Linked DNA regions of Stegostoma tigrinum. Each later gene encodes a partner of the first gene's protein in a complex. Links are inferred from orthologs where the notes say so. Each region holds a gene or a part of one and is shown in the gene's direction. Other genes may lie near its edges.

What was found.
Region 2: the proteins of obsl1a (region 1) and myom1b are in contact, whole or in part, in a crystal structure (PDB 5FM5), measured with the Homo sapiens proteins. The link is inferred for Stegostoma tigrinum from reciprocal best matches to the Homo sapiens genes OBSL1 and MYOM1. Residues at the interface, in NP_056126.1 of Homo sapiens: Pro243, Lys253, Phe255, Val257, Asn258, Gly260, Lys261, His262, Ala263, Lys264, Phe265, Arg266, Cys267, Tyr268, Val269, Met270, Gly271, Lys272, Pro273, Pro275, Trp279, Lys305, Tyr308, Tyr317, Cys319, Ala321, Arg322, Asn323, Ser324, Ala325; in NP_003794.3 of Homo sapiens: Arg616, Pro617, Ser618, Ala619, Pro620, Trp621, Thr622, Gly623, Gln624, Ile625, Ile626, Val627, Thr628, Glu629, Glu630, Glu631, Pro632.

Annotation. Positions count from the first base shown.
Region 1 is NC_081360.1:102,223,761-102,235,493, forward strand, and holds the start of obsl1a (obscurin-like protein 1a), read left to right. Parts: upstream 1-7,048; 5' UTR 7,049-7,369; intron 7,370-11,031; exon of another isoform or gene 11,032-11,187; intron 11,188-11,733. Other genes in the region: inha (inhibin alpha chain), read right to left, coding at 586-1,310, 2,357-2,696. UniProt on the Homo sapiens protein: Core component of the 3M complex, a complex required to regulate microtubule dynamics and genome integrity. It is unclear how the 3M complex regulates microtubules, it could act by controlling the level of a microtubule stabilizer.
Region 2 is NC_081358.1:81,827,051-81,838,210, reverse strand, and holds the start of myom1b (M-protein, striated muscle), read left to right. Parts: upstream 1-5,811; 5' UTR 5,812-5,918; exon of another isoform or gene 5,919-5,949; intron 5,950-6,065; exon of another isoform or gene 6,066-6,273; intron 6,274-7,058; 5' UTR 7,059-7,111; coding exon 7,112-7,248; intron 7,249-11,160. UniProt on the Homo sapiens protein: Major component of the vertebrate myofibrillar M band. Binds myosin, titin, and light meromyosin. This binding is dose dependent.

The DNA of each region.
Region 1 (11,733 bases):
CTTGACAGGATAAATATGAGGATGTTGCTTCCCCTTGTAGGAGGTTCTAGGACCAAAGGGCAAAATCTGAGTGTATGGATTCACCTATTTAAGACAGAAATGAAGAAGAATTTCTCCCCTTAGAAGCTAGTGAATCTGTGGATTCATTTTTATACCTCAGAGAGCTTTAGAGGCTACGTCAGTGAGAACAGTCAAGGCTGAGATAGACATATTTTCAAACAGCAATGGAATCTAAGGTTATAGGGTAAAGGCGGTAAAGTGGAGTTGAGGATGATCTGGTCAGCCTGGCCCAATTGACTGGCAAAGCAGACTAGATAGGCTGAATGGCCTGATGTCTAGTTTCAGAATGGAAAGTGAATGGACTGTTGGCTATTTGATTAAATGTTTACCAACTATCCATCAAATATTCCTTTCTTTCCAAAACTCAAATATTTTCATAATTAATAAACAATGAATGCACTGATACAGCTTCTTTATTTATTTCATTACTGTCCCTTGGATTTGTCTTTTGGATTCTGATTAATTTTCAGTTCCTTGAGAGTCCAAGGCCACCCTATCATTATGCTGAGGGTGAGGAAGCAAAGTCTAAATGCAGGCACATTCTTCGGTGATAATGTTTGGGATAGTCTCGTATTTAAAAGTGTAGCCACTGTCGGACGTTGTCCTCACTCTCAGGGGCTTCATGGTCCCTGGGACTGAGGTGCAGCAAACCTTGAGGCCGAGGCTGGAGGTGAGCCGGTTGGAGTTGGAGCAGGTCCCATTGCAGTAGTAGAAGGTGAAGACACTGGGTTGAACAATCCAGTTGCCCCATCCCAATTCTTCAAAGGAGATGTTAACGGCAGAACGATGGCAATCGTCATGAATAAGTTCAGGAGATGGTGGCCTCTGAAGGAGACTGACATATGCGGGGGACCAAGGGACTGTTGAGCGTCTAGATCGAGAAGGACCCAAGTTCTTCGCTGTGGACAGGATGAAAGGCACATTCACTTGGTCCCTCACACACTGGCAATTGGCACACTTGACCTGAAGGAAAAGTATCTTGTGCGAGATATATGAGAGGAAGGACTGGGAGATATGAAAGATTACCCACTGTCCTTCAACTGCCATGCTCTCTGCTGCCTGGGCAAAGCTGCCAGGTTCAGTGAGGAAGTACAGTTTAGTGGGGGGGTCAGCACCTGGGGGTAACTGGACCCCGGCGTAAAACCAGAACTCAGCAGAGGTCACCTGGCTGCGACGGGAGTGCAGGGATGGCTGAAAGACGTAACTGTAATTGCCCACGAATCCTTCATACTGTAAATCACACGGTATGTCTGAAAATAAAAGTATGGGGGGGGAAGGGAAGATTGAGCGGAATGAGTTATAAAATAGCCAAAACTTGTGTAAAACCGAATGATTTGCATTCACTTGTTTTGCTTCCATGCTTGTTTATTGCAAATATCAAACATTGTTTGACAGTTCCCGTTCTCATTTGATTATGTCTTCAAAATAAACCACCCAACCACACACCCAAATTTTGTGCCACCTGCTTAATCCTATTATCTTAACCACATCTCGTGCTGTTTATGTGCGTATGGGCTCCCAGGTCAGTGGGTAACCCACTCACTTCTCACTCCAGCAGTGGTGGTCTTAAGATCCCGTTTAGAGACTGAGAATCTAGTCTGGCATTGGAGCACTGAGGGACTGCCACACTGTTTGGAGGCACTTTCTTTCAGATGATATGTCAAGCTTATCCACTTTCTAAGTGGAGGCCATAAAGGATTTCACAGCATCTGTTTCCAAGAAGAGCAGGGAGCAGTTCACACCAGTCTCCTGGGAAAATGTGTACTTAAACAGAAATGGACAACACCTGGAAATTATTACCCAGAAGGCATATGAGAGTCAATCATGTTGCTGTGGATGTGGAGTCAGATAGAGACCAGACGGAGTAAGGACAATAGATTTCGTTCACTAAAGGGAAGCGGTTGATGGGTTTTTAAACGGTACATAGTTTTCATTAGGCTATCTTCTCTCAACTGAATTCATATTTCACCATCTGCTATGGGATTTGACCCCTTTAGTTTGGGGTTCTGATTTACTAATGTCTGGTGACATTACATTATATCACTGCCTCCGTTCTATTATGATCACTACAAATTGGCTATCAGGTCATCGTTACACTGCTGTCTGTGGGAGCTTCCTGTAGAAATCGGATGTTGTACTGCATGTATTACGACACTTCAAAAAGTACTTAATTGGTTGAAAAGTACCTTAGGTATGGCTGACATTGTGAAACAGTGTGGCCAGGATTTATCATCCTGACATACAAAATGATACTATTTTTACGTATTTGTTTTATGAAAGCCAAAAGAAAGCTTACTGGTTATGGGGAATGAGATGACCTCCGATTTATCGTTGTCCGTTTTGGGTTTGTGATGTCCAATCCAGCGGGTGATGCGCCGTGTCAGTCTGCGGTTTTTGAACGGATTATGCAGCTCCTGGCTGGTTACATTGCAGTTCTCTGGGGGTTCAGTCAGCCCCAGGCTCCTCAGAATTTTCTCCTGCACCTTTGCAATGATTGCATCCTCACTCATGCTGTGCATTGAGCAGGCACTTTCCAGCATTGGGGCCTGGAACATCAGAATCAGTAGCACCATCCACAACAAGCTCAGGAATAAAGGGACACCAGGGAGTTTGTGGGAAGCATGAAGCTGGAACATTGGGACAGAGGGGGACAGAGTGAGGGGGAGAATGAATAAGATACGTACACAGAGTAGAAGATAAACACTAAACAAGATAACTAACTTGAAAGCGATTACGAGGGAGGTTCTAAGACAATGCAGGAATTTAATGATTCAGATACAGAATGATGAGGGTAAATGAGAGAATGGGATCCAATGACAGAGATAGAAACACAGATACAGTAAAAACAGGAATGCAGGAAGACCGAAAGAATAAAATCAAAGTGTTTGAGACAGATAGATTGTCAGACAGCTAGAGTGGAATTGAGTCAGTGTAACCGGGGAGGAAGACAAATGCACACTGACACAGACTCACACCACACACAGGCACAGAGACACATGCACAGATAAATGCACACGGACAGATATATACACACAGACACAGTCACCCACAGATACATGCACACAGATACACCCACATATAGAGACAAAAGGAGAGATGGACACAAACACAGTGGACAGAAAGAAAGAGCCAGCAATACAGAATATGAGACAAAACAAGATACTGATGCAAGAGGAGAATGTGAGTGAGAGGGACTGAGAGACTCAGACAGAGGATAAGACTGAAAGATTGAAACTGGCAAAAAGCAAAAGAGGCACAAAGGCACTGAAGAAAATGCAATACAAGCAACAGGCACTCAGAGGAACAGAGTTAACACAATAGGGTTAGTTAGAAAGAGAATACACCATTACAGACAGAGTCGAGGAGAGACTCAGTTCGACAAGGAGAGAATGATACTAATGTCCTTTTAGTGTGATCTTCAAAACTCCTACAATCCCAGCAGACACACCCTCAAATGCTTGCTTGGAGGGCAGGTCGAGCTGACAGACTTGCCATTCACCCTGATTGTGCTGATTGGTGACCTGCCCCCTGACCCTGCTGCTCTTTGTCTCTCTCTCTCTCTCTCTCTCTCTCTCTCTCTCTCTCTCTCTCTCTCCCCACTGAGCTCTTCAGTGTGAATGCGCAGAGTTGCCACTATCAGAACTCTGATAGTCTGGTGACATTGGGCACGGCCTCTAAGACTGTTGTTAGCTGAATGACGTGGGTCTCCTGATTTGAATTATCTTCTCACAGAAGCACAAAACTCTAGCTGTAGAATATCATATTTTGGCCTCAAACAGCAGCCAATGGCTGAAATTCAAAGAAAGACTGATCTCAGGGACAGGGAGAGGTCAAACCAAATCTTCACTGATGCGAAAACACCTCCAAAGGAGTTCTCAGGAGGGATGGGAAGCTGTGATTCTCTTTTAGCCATGGATCTGAAGCCTGTCAGAGTTTGACCATTCCCTCAGTATACAATGTGGAGATTGCAGTGTAGTGAGATTTAGCCCACATTGATACAACAACTACCTGCATTTCTGTAGTGCCTTTCATGACCTCAGTAAATCCCAAGGTGTTTTGCGGCTGCTCGCAGTATTTGTGAGTAGTCACTCTTGTAATGTGGGAAAGTTGGGGCCGCAATGTTGATTGAGGGATAAATATTGGCCAGGACACCAAGGAAAGCTCTCCTGCTTTTTAAAATTGGGACTTTTGTCATTCTTGATTGTGCAGCGATGTTCCAGTGATAATCAAAAGCCTGGTCAAATACTCTGGGATAAATTGGTTCAAACCCCACACTCAACTGGTAAACCCAATTCAAATTAAGCTTGAATTGAAATATAATCTCAGTAATGGTGTCTACAAAGCTATCATTGCAGTAAAAACCTATCTGGTTCATTAATGCCCTTTAGGCAAGGAACCCTCCGGCCTACATGTGACTCCTGATCCTATGGTGACATGGTGGCTTCAACTGACTTCTGAAGTGACCAAACAAGGGAATGGCAACTGATGTAACCGGTTCTTCCTCTCACCCATCCCTTCCTCCCACCCCAAGCCGCACCCCCAGCTACCTACTAACCTCATCCCACCTCTTTGACCTGTCCGTCTTCCCTGGACTGACCTATCCCCTCCCTACCTCCCCACCTACACCCTCTCCACCTATCTTCTTTACTCTCCATCTTCGGTCCGCCTCCCCCTCTCTCCCTATTTATTCCAGTTCCCTCCCCCCATCCCCCTCTCTGATGAAGGGTCTAGGCCCGAAACGTCAGCTTTTGTGCTCCTGAGATGCTGCTTGGCCTGCTGTGTTCATCCAGCCTCACATTTTATTATCCTTGCATGTAAAGCTGCATTTAAAATATGGCCTCATGTTATCTCCCAGAGGCTAGTGAATGCCTGAAATTCCCTATCCTAATGAACGGTGGAGAATTGATCAAGTAAAGTATTTGATGAGGAGGTAGACTGATTCTTGAAACATCAGGGAAGTGAGGGATATGAGGAGATGGCACAAAAGAGTAGTTGAGGCCGGGGCAGATCAGCTGTGATCTTGTTGAATGGGGAAAGAGGCTTGAGGCCTTGACCTATCTCTGTGGCTATTTCTTATGTCCTCCCGTTCAATTGGGCTTTTTAACCAGCATGAAATGTGATGCATCTCTTACTGCAGTGTGATCCTATAGGTAGCACACATTTTGGTCCCTGCACAGGCTGAGTTCTCCCCCAAAGAAACTGCTGTTGCCCGACTGGATATCGAGGCTGCAACATTAAAGAAATCTTTAGTAAGTGAGCAATGCCACAGAATGCCAAACGACATTTCCAGGGAACTAACGTCATGAGAGGGATCAGCACTTTGCTGATAAATGTCTTTATATATAGAGAGAACTGAACTCAATGTCATTCTCCAATCACTCGTTACTGTCACTCGGATTGCACCACATGCAGAGGGAACATTTCATCTAAATGCAGGGTCTCTCCCTGAGAGGTACCTCACTGCCAGTATTTAATGAGATGAGGGTTGGAGATACAAACCATCCACAGTGCAGAACAGCAGTGAGACTTGGGTAAGGTGTGTCAGACGTGGTGGAACTAGGAGAAAAAGCTTTGTATTTGTATAGCACATTAACATAACCTCAGTGCATCCGAAAACACCTTCTGGCCAATGATATGCAATCATTGTTGCAGGAAACATGCTAGTCCAATTTCTGCACAGCAACATTCCACAATCAACACAGTGCTAAATGCCTGTGGCACATAAATCCAAGCTGTGGCACTGGAGGGTCAGAGGCGGTATACCAGTCTGATACCCAGAATGCGCAGGTTGTCTTATGATAAAAGGTTGCAGAGGCTAGCTTTATTCCCACTGGCGTTCCGAAGAATTAGGAGTGACTTGATTGAGGTGTATCGGATCCTAAATGGTTATTACCAGGTGAACATGGAAAAGATGTTTCCTCTTGCTGGCCAGTCCAGAACTAGGGGGTTCTAATTAAAAATTAGGAGTCACCTTTTTAGCTCAGAGTCAAGGAGAATTTCTTTTCTTGGAGGGTTGTGTGACTTTAGAACTTGGGGTCAATTAATATTTTTAAGACCGAGATGAGTAGCTTTGTGTTTGGCAGTGGAATCAAAGGAGTGGATGGGAAGGAGGAATTTGAAACGAACAGTTCAATCACGATCTTATTGAATGATAAGCAGGTTCAAGGTGTGGAATGATCCATTTCTGCTCCTATGCTGTATGCCCGCTTGTAACATTTCTACCACAGTACAGAAAGAGTGCTGCACATAAGGCTTGCTCTCGCAGATGGCACTGCTCTAAAGAAAAGCAGGATAGTTGTCCCCAGTGTCCTAGCCAATAGTTATCCCTCAAATTCCAAAAAAGCTGCACAAATGCTCTGTCCATTACAATATTGCTCTGTCCAAACTGATCACAATATTCCTTACGTTTCAACAGTGACTGCACTTCAGGAGTACTTAAATCATTGTAAAGCACATTCAGACTTTCCAAAATAGTGATAGGTGCTATATAAATGCAAAGACCGCTTTCTTGCTCGAACTCGTAGGAGCAGTGTATGAGCCAAGTCCAATTAGCTCTTCCACACTTCTGTTCAGCTGCTTCGTATCAAATGACAAGGCAGTTTCAATCTTTCTAATTCTGTCGGCTGTCCCACCATCCCCCTCCACCATCCACTCTCACCCCCTCCCAGACATTGCTTGTCTAAGACAGCAGAGATCCTTCTGTAATGTCACTTAAACGTAGACACGTAACACCTCGTTGGCTTCAGCTAATTCTGAATCTCTGCCACAGCACAGATAAGGGTCTTCGAATTCCTGAACGGGATTTGCAGTCACTGATCCTCCTACTTAGTCTGCAGCCCCACACTCCCCCAACCAGTCAACTTTCTCTTGGCAGGCTGGCCAGTCAATGGATGGTGGCCTCCTTTGCTCCCTGCATCCCCCTCCCACTATGGTCTCAACCATCCACACACTGCCAACCACCAGTCCAGCTCCTATTGGTGTTGTCGGGTCATGATGGCAGGGGTTATTTTGGGAGAGGAGACAGCTGGATAAGCTCCTTCAAACAATGAGCTGCAGAGCAGAGCAGGAGGGAGTAAGAGACTGGAGCATGGTTGAGGGGAACGGGGGAGGGTAGTTGCACACGGAATTTAAAACAGTCTTGCTGCTGAAAGGGCCTCCCCTAAGGACGGTCCGCTGTTAACAATGAGACTCATGGAGACGACATCTTAATGAATAAGCTGCAAAGAGGAGTGTAGGGATCTCAGAGGAAGAAACACTTGACAGGCAAACTGCTTCCCATCCCTGCCCTGAATTCTCAGCTAACTGGCTGGTAAGTAAATGATCAAACCCATGCCATTCTGTGTTGTAAAAAGAAGTGGTTGTGAAGTGCTTTCAGAGTATTAACAATCTTAAAGAGATATCAGATCATGTCAAGAGTCTGTGTAATGGAATGCAGCAGGTTGGGCAGGGATCATATGATAGTATTAACTCCCAGTCAAGCCACATGTTGAGTGCTCTTAGAGGTTTTCTGTAGTCCACTCTGTCCTAATATAGCCTGGGATCTTCTCCGTCTCCTTATCCTCTGACAACCCCTCAGGTATGAGGGCGATTTGAAATTAATATATTCAAAAAAGTTTGTTTTTTTAAGAGGCAAAAATAGAAACTGCTGGAAAAGCTCAGCAGGTCTGGCAGCATCTGTAGACAGACAGCAGAGTTAACATTTCGGAAAGGATTGACCCTTCCTCAGAGGGGTTCCTGTGGAAGGGTCACTCGACCTGAAATGTTAAATCTGATTTCTCTCCACACCTGCTGAGCTTTTCCAGCAATTTCTATTTTTGTCTCTGATTTACAACATCTGCAGTTCTTTCAGTTTTGATATTTTTTAGATTTTAAAGGCAACAAGAGACATGGGGAAAAGGCATGAACATGGCTCCAAGGGCCACATGGCCTGCTCCTGCCCCTGGTTTGTATGTTTTTCTAGCTTGTTGCCAGCCAGGGTTCGATGGCTTTTGGAATGACTGAAATGACTGATGCTTGATCTGCAGCTTCTGCTGCATTTAGAAGGTTGGGTTGATGGGTGATTATGCGTTTATGCCGTTCCCTCTGACAGCTCATCTTCAGCTCTGCACCTTTCCAATGGAGTCTCCCAATGTCTTAGGCATCTTCCAGAGCAAACCTTCTCCCTTTTGGTTGTTCACAAGCTAGGGTATCCATGAGTCATCAGGGGATGTTTGATCTCTTCAGGGAGGCCTTGAATTGAGCAGTCTCATTTGGAATCTGGGGTCAGGCTCACGAGTAACATGTACTGCCCAGTGATGCTGGTTTTGAAAGACTGGCCTCTCAACGGCAGGAGTAGGTATTGATGTTAGTCATCCTTTCCTGTTCTTGGATTTGGAGGATCTTGTGCAGGTGACACTGCTGGGACCTCTTTAGTGATTCAATGTGTTCAGCGTAGGCTCTCCAATTCTGGAATATTATTAGTGCACAGACAGGGAAGGGTTCCATTCGTGTGTTTGTGGAATTTTCATGACAGTTATGATTCAGACTCTGAAACATCTGTTTCCAGGGAATAAAGTGACTCAATTGGATCAGATGTCAGTAGGCAGTATGTTTAGGACATTGAGGTCACAGTATAATAAGAGTTTGATTAAGCATAGAGAGGATCAAGACAAAATCAAGGGTAAAATACTTCACTGGAGTAAGGCCAATTTCAGAGAGTAGGGAATGGATCTGTCTTGAGTAAACTTGAATGAACGATGAGCATGCAGAACTGAAACTAGACACTGTGTTGCCTTTATACAGGAACCAGTTCAGGTGCAGGCCTGTAGCAATGTGGTTGACTCTTTAACTTCCCTTTGAAACAATCAATCAGGCACAAGTCAGGAGCGTGGAGGAATACTTTCCAGTTGCCTGACTTAGTGCAGCTCCAAAAACACTTAAGAAGCTTGATCCAGGACAAAGCAGCCTGCTTGATTGGCACTACATGCACACACATCCATTCCCTCCATCACAGATGTTCATAGCAGCAGTGTGCATAATTGACAAGATGCATTGCAGATATTCATCAAGGCTCTTCAGCCAACACCTTCCAAACTCATGTTCACTACTGTCTGGGAGGACCATCATCTGCAATTTCCCCTCTAAGTCACTCATAATCCTGACTAGGAAATATACTGCCATTCCTTCTAAACCCTGGAACTCCGTCTCGGCAGAACAAATACTGCAACGATTGGAGCAAGTAGCTCACTATCACCTTCTCAATAGTAATTACAGACTGGCCAGCCAGAAATTAGCACAGCCCACCATTTTTTTTTAAAAAAGCCTACTGAAGTCAACAGCAATTCTGAATTGACTGTATTTCTGCTTGACATGGAGAACATATGTGATAGAAAACAAGCAAGGTCATCCCCAAAGGAACCGATTTCTGTTTGGCAGTTTTTGAATAGATCCTTTTAGTGAAGCGGATCTCTGGGACTGCAGCAGAGACTGTGTTACCGTGTGCATTATACAATTGGAAAGAGAATGGAAGGGAGAAGTGACAGGGGTCTTTTGACTGCACAGAGGGCAGTCAGCAATGTCAATGTCTCTCGACTATTAAGCTAAAATCAGAAGCTAATTTTCTCAGGGTATAGGTTCAAACCCCACCATGGCAGATGGTGAAATGTGAATTCAATAAAAATCTGTAATTAAAAGCCTATTAGTGACTATATTGAAAAGAATCAATCAGCTTCATTACTTGTCCTTTAGGAAAGAAAATCTGCTGTCCTTACATGCACTTTTTAGAGTCATACGGCATGCAAACAGACCCATTGGTTCAACCAGTCCATGCAGAGCATAATACCAAACTAAACTAGTCCTGCATGTCTGCTCCTGGCCCATATCCCTCCCAATATTTCCTATGCACATACTTATCCAAATGTCTTTTAAACATTGTAATTGAACCCTCATCCATCACTTACTCAGAAATTCATCCCACACATAAACCATCCTCTGCATTAAACATTTGCCCCTCATGTCTCTTTTAAATCTCTCTCCTCTCACCTTAAAAATGTGTCCCTTTGTCTTGAAATTCCACATCCTGGGAAAAGACAACTAACATTAACCTTATCTGGACAACTTACTTTTTTTTTATAAACTTCTAGAAGGTCACTTCTCAAATCGTAGAATCCCTACTGTGTGGAAACAGGCCACTCCCCTACCACCACTTAACAGCTTCCCATCCAGACCCATTCCCCTACCTCTGCATTTTCCCATGTCTACCCACTTAACCCAAACATCCCTGGACACTACAGCATAGCCAATCCACCTACCCTGCGCATCTTTGAACTGTGGGAGGAAGCCAGAAGGACACCCATGCAGACACAGGGAGTATGTGCAAACTCCACACAGACAGTCATTTGATGGTGGAATTGAACCCAGGTCCCTGGTACTGTGAGGCAGCAGTGCTCACCACTGAGCCACCGTGCCGCCAACCTCCTAGGGCCCAGGCTATCCAGCCTTTCTTTATAACTCATACCTGGCAATATTTTGGAAGATCTCTTTTGAGCCCTCTCTAGCTTAATAATATTCTTCCTATAACTAGGCGACCAGAACTGGACACAGTGTTCCAGAAGAAGCTGTACAACCTCAACATGACTTCCCAAAACCTATTTTCAGAGGACTGAACAATGAAGGCAAGCATGCACTAGGCCCGAAACATCAGCTTTCCTGCTCCTAAGATGCTGCTTGGCCTGCTGTGTTCATCCAGCTGTACACCTGGTTATCTTGCATGCTAAACACCTTTTTGACCACCCTGTCTATATCTGATGCAAACTTCAAAGAATTATGTACCTGAACCCCTGGGTCCCTCTTTTCTACTTGGTCTGATCTATACGTGACTGCAGAAACACAGCAATGTGGTTGACTTTTACTTTTAATGGTCAATAAATGCTGGCCTAGCTACACCGCAGAAATGAATTAAAAATACAATTCTTGCTGTTTCAATCTTTCCAGAGGCCATCAAGCCACTTAAAGGGACAGGAAAAGAATTTGAGGATTCTGTGACCGTCAGTACTTGCACAGACTAAATGAGAAAAGGTTTGTGCCTGCGCATCATTACAGTATTAATCATGTCCGGGAACTTAAGATGAACAATGGCTGCTGCTAAAGGTGATTTAAGGGCCAATTCTTTGAGTGGGAAATAAGAGGCCATTCAACCCATCGTGCCTGCACAGGTCCTATTACCTACTGCCAATCTTCCACCTCTTCCCCAGATTGCAACACCATTTCTATTCAAATAATCATCCGAAGCCCCTCTCGAATGCTTCAGTTGAAGCTGTCTCCACCACATTTCCAGGTCATGCATTCCAGACCCTAACTACTTGCTGTGTGAGAAAGTCTTTTCTCATATAACCCTTGCTTCATTTGCACATCACTTTGAATCTATGCTTTCTCATTCCTGTTCCTCTTCTGAGTAGCAGCAACTCTCCCTAACAACTCCGTCCAGTCCATTCACGATTTTGAAAACCTCGATCAGATCTTCTCTCAGCTTTCTTCTCTCCAAGGAGAACGAACCTAATTACTTCAATCTCTCCTGATTGACAGCCCTGTGATAGTATCGCAAGGCTATTAATCCAGAGACCCAGGAAACCTTCTGGGAACAGGGTTCAAATCCCAACGTGGTAGATGCTGGAATTTGAATTCAATAATAATCTA
Region 2 (11,160 bases), on another chromosome or scaffold:
ATATTTAATTCCGCCTCATTGCACAATACTAGACCGAAAATAGCTTTATCCCTAATTGATTCCACAACACATTTCTCCAGGTTCTTTGTAACAAATATATACCAGCTCCTCTCACAAATCACTTTTTTTACCAATTTGAAGATTATGAAGATTAAAGTCCCCCATAACTATTTCACTGCCTTTGTCACAAACTCCAAACATTTCTTGTTTCAATGCTCTGTTCAGTGGTCCAACTCTTGCCTGAGACTTCTAAACTAATCCCACCAATCTGTTCCTAATCTTCAACTATTTTGATTCTATGTCCTGGTTTTCTGTGGCAGATCCTTTCTTATCAATGTATCATCCATTGCTGGTCAGGCTATTATTCCTCCTTATCCATTCTGATTGTCTTTCCAAACTGTATATACTAAAATATTTATTTCCCAATCTCTTAGATTTTAACTATATCTCTATAATAGTGATTGGGTCTATATTGTTTATTTCTAAGTCTGACACTAGTTCATCAATCTTATTGCTCCATGTATTCAGATGAAGTGACTTCACTTTTATTCTAATTTCTATTCCATGCATTCATCTCACTCCTTGATGCCTATTATCTCGAAAGTCTCTGTCCTGTCTGATACTTAAGTTTGCACACTCACCTTTTCTATTGCACTGAGATTTCCATTACCCATAGCACTACGCTTCACTACTGCTATCTTCATTTTAGATTAAAATCGTCAGAGGTGACTTAACTGGAACATAGAAGATCCCGAGGGGACTAGACCAAGTGTTTGTCGAAATAATGGTTCCTCTTGTGGGAGAATATAGAGCTAGCAGTCATAGTTTAAAAATAAGTGGTCACCCATTTAAAACAGAGATATCGAAACGTTTTTCGCTTAGAGGGTTGAGAGTCTTTGGAATTCCCTTTTCGAAAAGGAGTAAAATGTAGAACCTTGAAATATTTTTAAGGCAGAGGTAGACCAATTCTCGATTACCAAGAGGATGAAAGATTATCCTGGACATATAGGAATGTTGAGTTGAGGTTAAAATCAGATCAACTGAGTGACCTACTCTTTTGCCTCGCTCATATCTTGGTATTCTTTATTCTTTTCCTGCACTGGATTCATACATATGAAAACAACCTCAATTACTATGATGTTCAAGAAAACTTTTCAACACCCTACAGAAAACAATGACTTGATTGTTGTCCTGTCTGGTCATGTGCTTGTGAAACAGAACAGAATTTGGAACAACACTTGTATGATCTAATTTCCCCTCAAATAAAGAACATTGTAGCATTTCTAAAAGATAAAAAAAAATGTAGTGTCTTCAAAGCTGTACCAATAAATACACAGACAACAATGGTAAAGGATAGAATTTGCATTTCCTTTTCCTTCAAATGTCCTAAAGCAATAGTATTGTGAAAAATCAAGAATAAACATACTCACACATAGCAATGCCTGCATGCTAGAATTTGCCTGTTACGTTTAAAACGTACAAGAAAGTTTTACATTTGTATTTTAAGAAAGAACAGTTATTGGCTTAAAAGTAAGACTTTTTATTTTTAAAGAGTTTTAAAATGAACTTACGAAAGTATTCAGAAAGGAGTGTAATCTATAATTAAGATATCGACCTCCGACTGCCTCCTGCTAATAATACTTCAATGAATTCTTTGCAAACTCCAGTTGTTGCTTCTCATTTCTGTTTGCACCACAGCCATCCTTTGTGTCTGCAAATAAACATTCCAAAGTTAAAACATGCTCTCATCATGCAGAGGTATTTAAAAGATTAATAGATGAATGGAAATTATAAATTCATTCTATTTACAGTCAACTGGCTGGGTATGAATTGCAGATGGGGATAACTGTATGTGTATGCACACAAAACAATAATATGATGAAGCAACTCCGATGTTGCAAAAATGGATAAGGAATGATTTAGTGTGATTTATATTCGCCAATCAAAATTCTACAAACTCAGCTTCCATATCACACTAATCATTTTGATTGATCCAATCTATTTGAATATTAAAATCTCTGACAGTTGTTACATTGCAAAATAAAAACCAAAAGAACTGCAGATGCTTTAAATCAAAAATGGGCATTGCTGGAAAAGCTCACCAGGTCTGGCAGCATCTGTGAAGAGAAATCAGAGTTAACGTTTTGGGTCCGGTGACCCCTCCTCAGAACTAGTTTTGAAACGTTAACTCTAAATTCTCTTCAGAGATGCTGCTACACCTGCTGAGCTTTTCCAGCCTCTGTTACATTGTCTTTGCTACAAGTTCTAATAATTTCTTAGCTTTGATTTTCTATCCAATGGTATAACTACTGTTTTGAGGTCTCTTGTGATATAGTGATGGTGTCCTTATCACTGGGCCTAAAGTCCCAGTTTCAAGTCTCACCTGCTACAGAGACATGACATAGCATCTCTGAACAGGCTGATCAAAGTATCTATAACAACTATTAGGGATCAATAAATTACTGTTACATTTGTTATATCTAATTTCGATCAATTCTGATTCTACTTTGTGATTTTCTAAGCTAAAACTTTTTCTTACAAAAGTCCAAATGCCATCCTTTGTTATCAGGGTTTTTAGCAATTCAAAGAATCCAATCAATATAAAACTCCTTGTATAGTAATGATCATCAGCCATTTGGAAAATATCATGAAAATATTTGATTACCAGTCAAACTAAATTGTCATTTGGCAGTACAGAATTTAAATATTTTTGTATAAAAGACATATTTAATTGAAACTTTGTGTTTTGCACTCATCATGAAAATTCAAAGAAATATCAGTTACGTGATAAAGCAGGAAATCATTTCCTACATGAAAGGAGAATGTTCATTTGTGGGCAAGCAAAATCTGTTTGCTAGAAGTGTTACCATAGAGAATATAGAAAATAAGGATGACTAACATCTAACTGTCAGGCTTTGTTTAAATTTTCAAGCAGATTGACCCTGATTGGTGATGGCATTTTCCTGAGAAATGAGCCCAAGACTGTCACCTATTTATTGAGATGAAACAGACACCATGTGGGCATATGTTCATTCTATCTGCAAAGAACGGAGTCCTGCATATTAACATATGGATATAAACCAAAAGAACTGTGGATGCTGTAAGTCAGGAACAAAAATAAATTTACTGGAAAAGGTCAGCAGGTCTGGCAGCATCTGTAAAGGAAAAAACAGAATCAACATTTCGAGTCTGGTGACCCTTTCTCAGAATGGGCTAACAATTTAACATATGGAGTTTCCAGTACACACAAATGTACCATACACAGCCTGACTGACAATCTTAAATTGATTGTCAACATAATTCTTCACACACTCAAGGATTATTTAGCAATGATCATTGTATTGTGAGTTTTTTAGCATGAGCTAGCTGGGTACAGTCAGCACTTTGCTTGTGGTGAATACCTGTCAGTATATTCCGTTTGATATGTTTCACTAATCCTTGGAATGCATAGCAGCACTGAAATCCATATACCACGTTATTGATTTATAAAATCATTGAATCCCTACAGTGTGGAAACAGGCCCTTCAGCCCAACGAGCTCACACTGACCCTGAGACATCCCACCCAGACCCATCCCCTTATAACCCACCCAAACTACCCTTCTCTGAACACTATAGGAAATTTAGCATGGCCAGTCTACCTACCCTGCACATCTTTGGGCTGTGGGAAGAAACCAGAGCACCCAGAGAAAACCCATGCAGACACTAAGAGAATGTGCAAACTCCATACAGACAGTCGCCCAAGGGTGGAATTGAACCCAGGCTCCTGGCACTGTGAGGCAGTGATAATCACTGAGCTACCATGTATGACAGGAGGACAGATTTTTGACTTGATAACAGCATCTTCTGAACACCACCCATGTTGTTCCAGTATAATACCTGCATGAAACATTTAGCTTCACCAGTTGCTTCACCACCTTTAGATTCCCTACCCGTCTCAGGTAATGTAATTTAGATTGTGTACTTTTTAGGACTAACAATCTTAGAGTGTTCTATGAATTTACATGATATACAGTGAGAAGTGATCTGATCATTGTAGCCATTATTCTGCAGGATAACTTTAATCTTCCTTATTTCAGTACCAAGCATTCATGGTGAAAAAGTAGCTTTAGCATTACTTGCAAGATCGTTAATAATTCCAAAATTATGAAGTGTGAAACTATAGGGATCCCAACTTCTTTACTTGTCTTGGGAGATCAAGAAACCACAAGTCTTCTATATACAGATATGTTAGCACTGTCAGAAATGAGTTAACATCCTCTGAACAGTAAATGAGGACTTTGAAGTCATACCAGAAATTTATTCCAGATGTTGCCATTGTTTGCAAAAAGCAGTTTCTATGTTTTTGTAACATTGCCTGGAGTACACTCTTCTTACCAACTGAAATGGTTCGAATCCTCTTGGTTCAACACAAATACTTCTGTTATTTCATTGAACTCAATCATATCTCCACAAAGTCAGCATTTGGCAAAATAAAAACTCACAGCCATCTCAACCTATAGCAACAACTGATGGGCCTTAATATTGATAATAATCTTGTGCCTATTCTGTAACCTGCAGGCAGTGTGGCAACCAAATTGTATTGATTCAACGAGCCAATTTTTGGTGCCAATGGGTTCAAGAACATGGATTGGGAAATAAGATTGAAGGAAAGTTAGCATTCTAAGAGAAAGTGATAATGGGAACTGCAGATGCTGGAGAATCCAAGATAACAAAGCATGAAGCTGGATGAACACAGCAGGCCAAGCAGCATCTCAGGAGCAGAAAAGCTGATGTTTCGGGCCTAGACCCTTCATCAGGTTCTAAGAGAAAGATGTGTCTAGTGCACCTCTTGAGATGAGAAATAATGGTGGGATTTAAGGGAAGCAAAATAGTATAAAGGAGTCATCAATGATCTTGGTAGTAATTGGACAAAGAGAATGACTGAGTATTCAGGTGAATCTCATGGCAGAATTGAACTCAATAGAGATGGCTTGGGAAGTGATAACATGGAAATAGATTCTAATAAAACAACAGATTTTCTGGAAAGTCTCCATTTTTTTTCTGGTGAAGAAGGACCACTGGCTAATTCCAATTCAATATATTGATGGCTCTTCATTCCCTGGGTCAAAAGGCTGGTACTCCCTCCCTGAAAGGATTGTGGATCTAACTACAATGGGCAATTTTTCAAGAAGGCAACTAATCACTACCTTCTCAAGGGCAATTAAGGATGGATAATATTTGTTGGTCATGCATGTACACAATATACACTGCAAATGAAGAAAATAATCTGCACAAGTGAGGTGGAGCTGCCAATTATAGAAATTACACTAGGAATGATCATTGGCTTAAATAACAACAAGATGGTACAAACGTTTGTATAACACATCATATCTAGTCAAGAGAGTGATAAGAAAAAGACAATAACAATACAGGCAAACTTGAAGAAGACAGTGCTTGGAGTATCACCTCCCAGCTCACTATTATTGAAAGTTTCATTTCTAAAGTACACAATTAATTATTGTAAATGCTTTACGCCAGGGAGCTGTAGGTAAAACAAGTTGAGCCAGAAAGGTTTTTTGTTTAATAATCTACTAATCGTGCATTTCCAATTTTAAAATTAATGCGTACAGTTGCTTGTGCAATTCACCGCTTGTTGCTTGCCTGTTGTGTTCGTACCATTGTTCCCCTCACAGGTGCTTTCTTCACTGTGGGTTTATTTACGGTCCATTCGGCAATGTATGGAGTCATCTCTATACATTTCAAACCACACCTCCGCAAATATATATGTATATGTATGTAGATATATGTAATCACTAAGGTCCAGCTCCCAACTGTCAATCCCGTGATAGGTACAGAGGGTGTCCAATATGAGTGAAATATATCAGATTTAAGAAGCGACGGGATAAAACAGCTCAGCGACTTGGAACTTTGAACTCAGGTACTTAAAAATCTGATGTCAACTGCATCCGAAAGTCTTTTACCTGTAGTTGAATTACTAACAGTTGGTGATTACTAACTTCGCTTGCTCCGAGTGCTATATTTATCAATCCTCCTGGCCATAAAAGGTCGGGACTCTGGCTTCGACATTCCACTGACGGGATACATTATTTTTGTACTGAACCCTGGAGCCGAGTCTGCAGCCTTCTCCCTCCCACTGCCTCCCTCGATTCAATATACAGAGCCTTATCGCCTGCATTTCACCAAAACTCACAAGAAACATTTGACATTTGGTAAGGGCTCGGTGTTCGTGCATCCGTTTAGCAATAACGTGCGGTGTTCCCGAGATTTAAATGGTAATTTGATTTATTAAGTGGGGTCCAGTCAGCAGCTGATCGCTGCAGTTCTAAATGTACTTTCAGCGCGGAGACATGTCAGAAAAAATGTGGTAGTGATCGTTAATCAGGGTCAAAGTCTTTGCACAAGAACAAGTCTAAAAATGAGAATGAACTAAGAATTTTTTTTCACACGAAGAGAATCCAATTGGCTGCAATTATGTCAGAATATTTTTCGTGGTGTTTTTGAAATAGGAAAAAAAGAGAATGAGATGTTTAATGCAATGAAGTCGGAGCAGCTAAGGAACGTGTTATCTGTAATTGTAACATTGTGATTATTGTAAGGGATTATCAGCACGACATCGGGTCACTTAAAATCATTAAGGGGTAATTCAAATAGATCCCATTTTATTTCACACAAAGGTTTGCATATATACTAAAACATTTTGAAATATGCCACGGATTTTAATACCTCGGTATTTATTATAATTTATCGTTCTTATTAATGTATTATGCAAACGCAATCTTGCACATTGTTGGTTACTTTATATGTCTTTGAAACATTAGCTGCGGAGTTTTGAATGCTCTTTGCTTCGGCCATTCATGGATCAGACCAGAAAAGGACAGGAAGCAGACCAGGCTGGGCGACGGAGACTGCCCGTCCCCTATATTTTCGAATTAGCACAGTTCTCACTCTTTACAGGAGCTGGCTTCACTCATTATTGTTTGATCAATTTTCAGATTAATGGAACAACTTTTTTCCTTATTCTCTGTCCCTGACTGTGCCTTTATTTGTCTATGAATAGATCTGAAGACTTCGTACAGGCGATCCGGAACAGTTTGGATTTTACGGCCCACAATGTCTTCGCTGTCTTTACCTTTCTATCAGAAATACCACCGGCACTATGACCGCGGTTATCGCAATACACAGCTGTCCTCCACTATGCAAGAGTACCGCCAAGAGGAAAAGCGCAGTACTGCAGCTCATACCCACAGGTATCATTCACCGTTGCGGTGCTGTACTGCAACCCCAACGCAACTTGGCTGCCCACATTTCACAAACTGAAGGCAGTTTATGTATCAGTGTCATTGTGAGCAAAGTCATAGGATTCCGACAGTGTGAGGGCAGCCCATTAGGCCTATACAACCCTCTGAAAATCATCCCAGTCAGACCCAGTCTATCCTTGTAACCCTGCATTTCCCCCATCTGGTTTGCACACCCCTGAACACCATGGGCAATTTAGCATGGCCAATCCACCTAGCCTGCACATCTTCGGACTGTGGGGGGAAAGCGGAATGCCAGGAGGAAACCCACGCAGACATGGGGACAATGTCAAGTTCTCACAACTATCATTCTTCATAAATTTACGTCTACAGTTCAGCAGTCTATTAAATGTATCATTGTCTGATTTTTTTTTTATTACCAAACTACTAAAGTGTCTATCCTGAGGTTTAATCTAAATTACTAAACTCTGAGAACTGTGGCATAATATACAAAACATTTATCAATAGTCGAAGGTGAACTTTTATAGTATATTCACTATACTTAATAGACAGTCCTTTAGAAAGCAGTTAATTAATACAATTGTCTGTTAATGAAAATTAAACTACCTGAATTGTTGAAATGTTGCTGTCTGATATACATATTATATATATATTGCTTGCATTCTTACAATCAACACCATTGGACAGATTGGATTTTGAATTTATGTTCCAAATTTTTTTAAGTGCTGGAAATCTGAAAGAAAAATACAAAATGTTTGGAATACTCAAGGGCTTCTCAGGACTTGGAAAGCAAAGAGCAAGCCAAACATTTGCACAGCTGACTCTCCTTGCACTAAGTTACAGTTCTGAATTACTCTATTTTTCAGACGCTGAAAAGCTGTACTGCATATTTTTCCTTGTTGTTTTGCTTTGAACTTCTGTTGTGATTCTTTCTTTGTCTGGATTTCTATCATGCAGTGGGTTATTATTCTGTTTAAGTTGAGATCATGATATGCATGCAGCTCTAACATGCATTCTAGATTTTGTCAGTCACGAGAGACTGATGTGGTCTGTTGAAGGTACCCTAGGATCACTCATGGTCAACTTTACCTTCTCAATAGTTGTAGTCTCTTGTCTGCTTGGTTGACTGCCATAAGGAGAAGGAAAATGCAAACTAGCTCAAGTCAGCAAGAGCATGCACCATTTACCCTCCCCAAGGCAAACTTCAAATACATTTACAGAACCTTTAGATAGTACTGGTAATGCATAAACGCTATTTGGAATAAGGCATGCAACTGAATTAACATAAGAGGATCTGCAGTGGGCCCTAAAAATGCATGTGCATGAGGGTGGGGATTATTGTAAACAAGGATGTTTCACTACAGGTGCAGATATCTGTGTGACAATATGATATAATGATGGAGATTTGACTCCAAAAAAGTGAATTTAAATATTCCTGGATGCAACATATTTAGGAAAATAGGAATAAAAGAAAGGAAGAGGCCTGTCAATATTGATTTAAGGAGAATTTGTTCAGGTGATGTCGATGTTGCAAGCCAGACCAGCATTTACTGCACATTCCTAATTGCCTAGAGGATAGTTAGAGTCAAATACATTGCTGTGGGTCTGGGATCAGATGTAGGCCAGACCAAGTAAGACTGGTAGATTTCCATCCCTAAACAACAATTAATAGAGGTTACATGGTTGACATTAGGTCAGCATTTTATTCTAGATTTTAATTCAATCCAGATTTCAGTCTGCCTTGGTGGGATTTGAACCCCCTAACCCTGGCAATATTAGCCTGGGGCTCTGGATTACCAGTCAACTACATGTTACCACAACATGATTGCTCGAGAGAGAGGATATACCAGAGGGGTCAGGAATACAATTTATTCAGCTCAAGTTCAGGAACAGTAGACATACCAGAACACTGCAGGATGTATTCTGTAAGCCAGAAATTAGTGGTAAAGATTGACATGAAAACCCTTAGCAAGTAAATTTTAGTGTGTTGCAAAATGAGGACCTGGCAAGATTGTAGTGTAGAGACAATGCTACTGGGCAAGTAATCCAGAGTTCAAACTAATGTCTTGGAGACATGGGCTGAGGCCATGCGTTCAAACCCCACCATGACAGGTGATGAAATTAAAATTTAACTTTTAAATCTGGAAGCCTTGGTAATGGTGACCATGACAACAATCACTGATAGTTTTAAATAAAACTATTTGGTGCCCCAAACCCCTTTAAATGAAGGAAATCTATCAACTTCATCTGGTCTAAATGCGACTCCAGAATCACGTCAGGATTGACTCTTGACTGCCATGTGAAAGGGGCTTGCAAGCCATTCAGTTCAAGGGCAACTGGAGATGGTCAAAAGATGTTGGCATTGTTCGTGATGTCACCATGCTATGGAAAAAAAACCTTTGCAGTCGTTAAAATGGAACTTTAATTTTCCTAAGTTAGTACTGATTGGGGTAGTAACAATATGAATAAGACCACAAGAAATAGGAACAGGAGAAGGCTTTTCAGCACCTCAAGCCTGTCCACCATTCAATAAGATTCTGGCTGATCTGACACTCCTCACTTCCCTGCCCTTTCTCCCGACTGCTTCAATGGCAAAAAATGGAAATATATCTGAAGTGTGTTTGGAAGAATTTTATAGATTAGTATGTTTCTAGCCCAGCTGGAGGGGAAAGATTGCTGGCTTTGGTTCCATGGAATAAGATAGATAAAATGCAGAAGTCACATGACATCAGGTTATCGTCCAACAGGTTTGTTTGAAATTACAAGTTTTTGGAGTGCTGCCCCTTCGTCAGGTGAAGTATGATACTTCATACATTACCTGACGAAGGTGCAGCTCTCTGAAAGCTCGTGATTCCAAATAAACCTGTTGGATGAAAACATGATGTCATATGACTTCTGACTTGTCCGCCCCAGACCACTACTGGCACCTTTATATCGTAGATCAAGTGGATCAAGTCTCAAGGAGGAATCATTTTGGGGAAAGTGGTCATTATAGATATTAGCTATGGAAAATAGCAAATAGTAAATGGTAGAATTCATTGGTTGAAGGTCTGTTACATTAAGTGGAATATAAGCATTTTACATGGTATATAAATAGTAAAAGACTTGTAAAAGAAACAGTAAGGTAGACTAGGAGTAAAAAAGTGAATTTGCACATGGCTGAGGTACTAAATGTGCACCTTACATTTGCCTTGAATAAAGAAGAAGGTGGTGTCCATATCATAGTCAAAGAGGAGGCAGTTGAGATATGGTTCGGCTAAAACTGGATAAATAGATATTCGTAAGACTAGCCATAATTAAAGATAATAGGCTCAATCATAGTAGAAATCTGCTAAGTATCAATTTTAGTAACTTTCATGGATGGTTTATTTCTGCAAGCCTGAGTGAGTTTTTTTGTTCTATATTCCCAAACTTTCTTCATTACCCAATTGTTATTCCCCAATGACCCCTTGCTTATCAGATTCTTCATTCATCACGGTTGGAAGTATTAGCCACAGCTAAGATCCTCCTGGGATTGATGGCACCAGGAGCATTGTTAAAGCCTAACTGTGCACCAGTCAACTGCTAGCAGCCCACAGATGCCCTGAATGATTAATTTTTTTTGTCCCACATATGTCAAAGAAAGTATTTGGTATCATACTTTGCTTATGGGGATCAAGAGATCTTGTTGGATGGGATGTATGTGGTCGCTGCCCATAAAGCATGTCCTGAGACATTAGTGACCGATGGGAGGGCGAGAGGAACAAGCCATGAGCTGCAGTCACCATGTTACCACTCTGGCTTTCATGTCAAGAATTACCACCCGCAGTTACTGAAAATGGGGTGGGAGAATGGGAAACTAATATGACTGGGTGAGATGACCTAATAATGAGGATGTTAGCACATGCTAATTGATGCAATAGG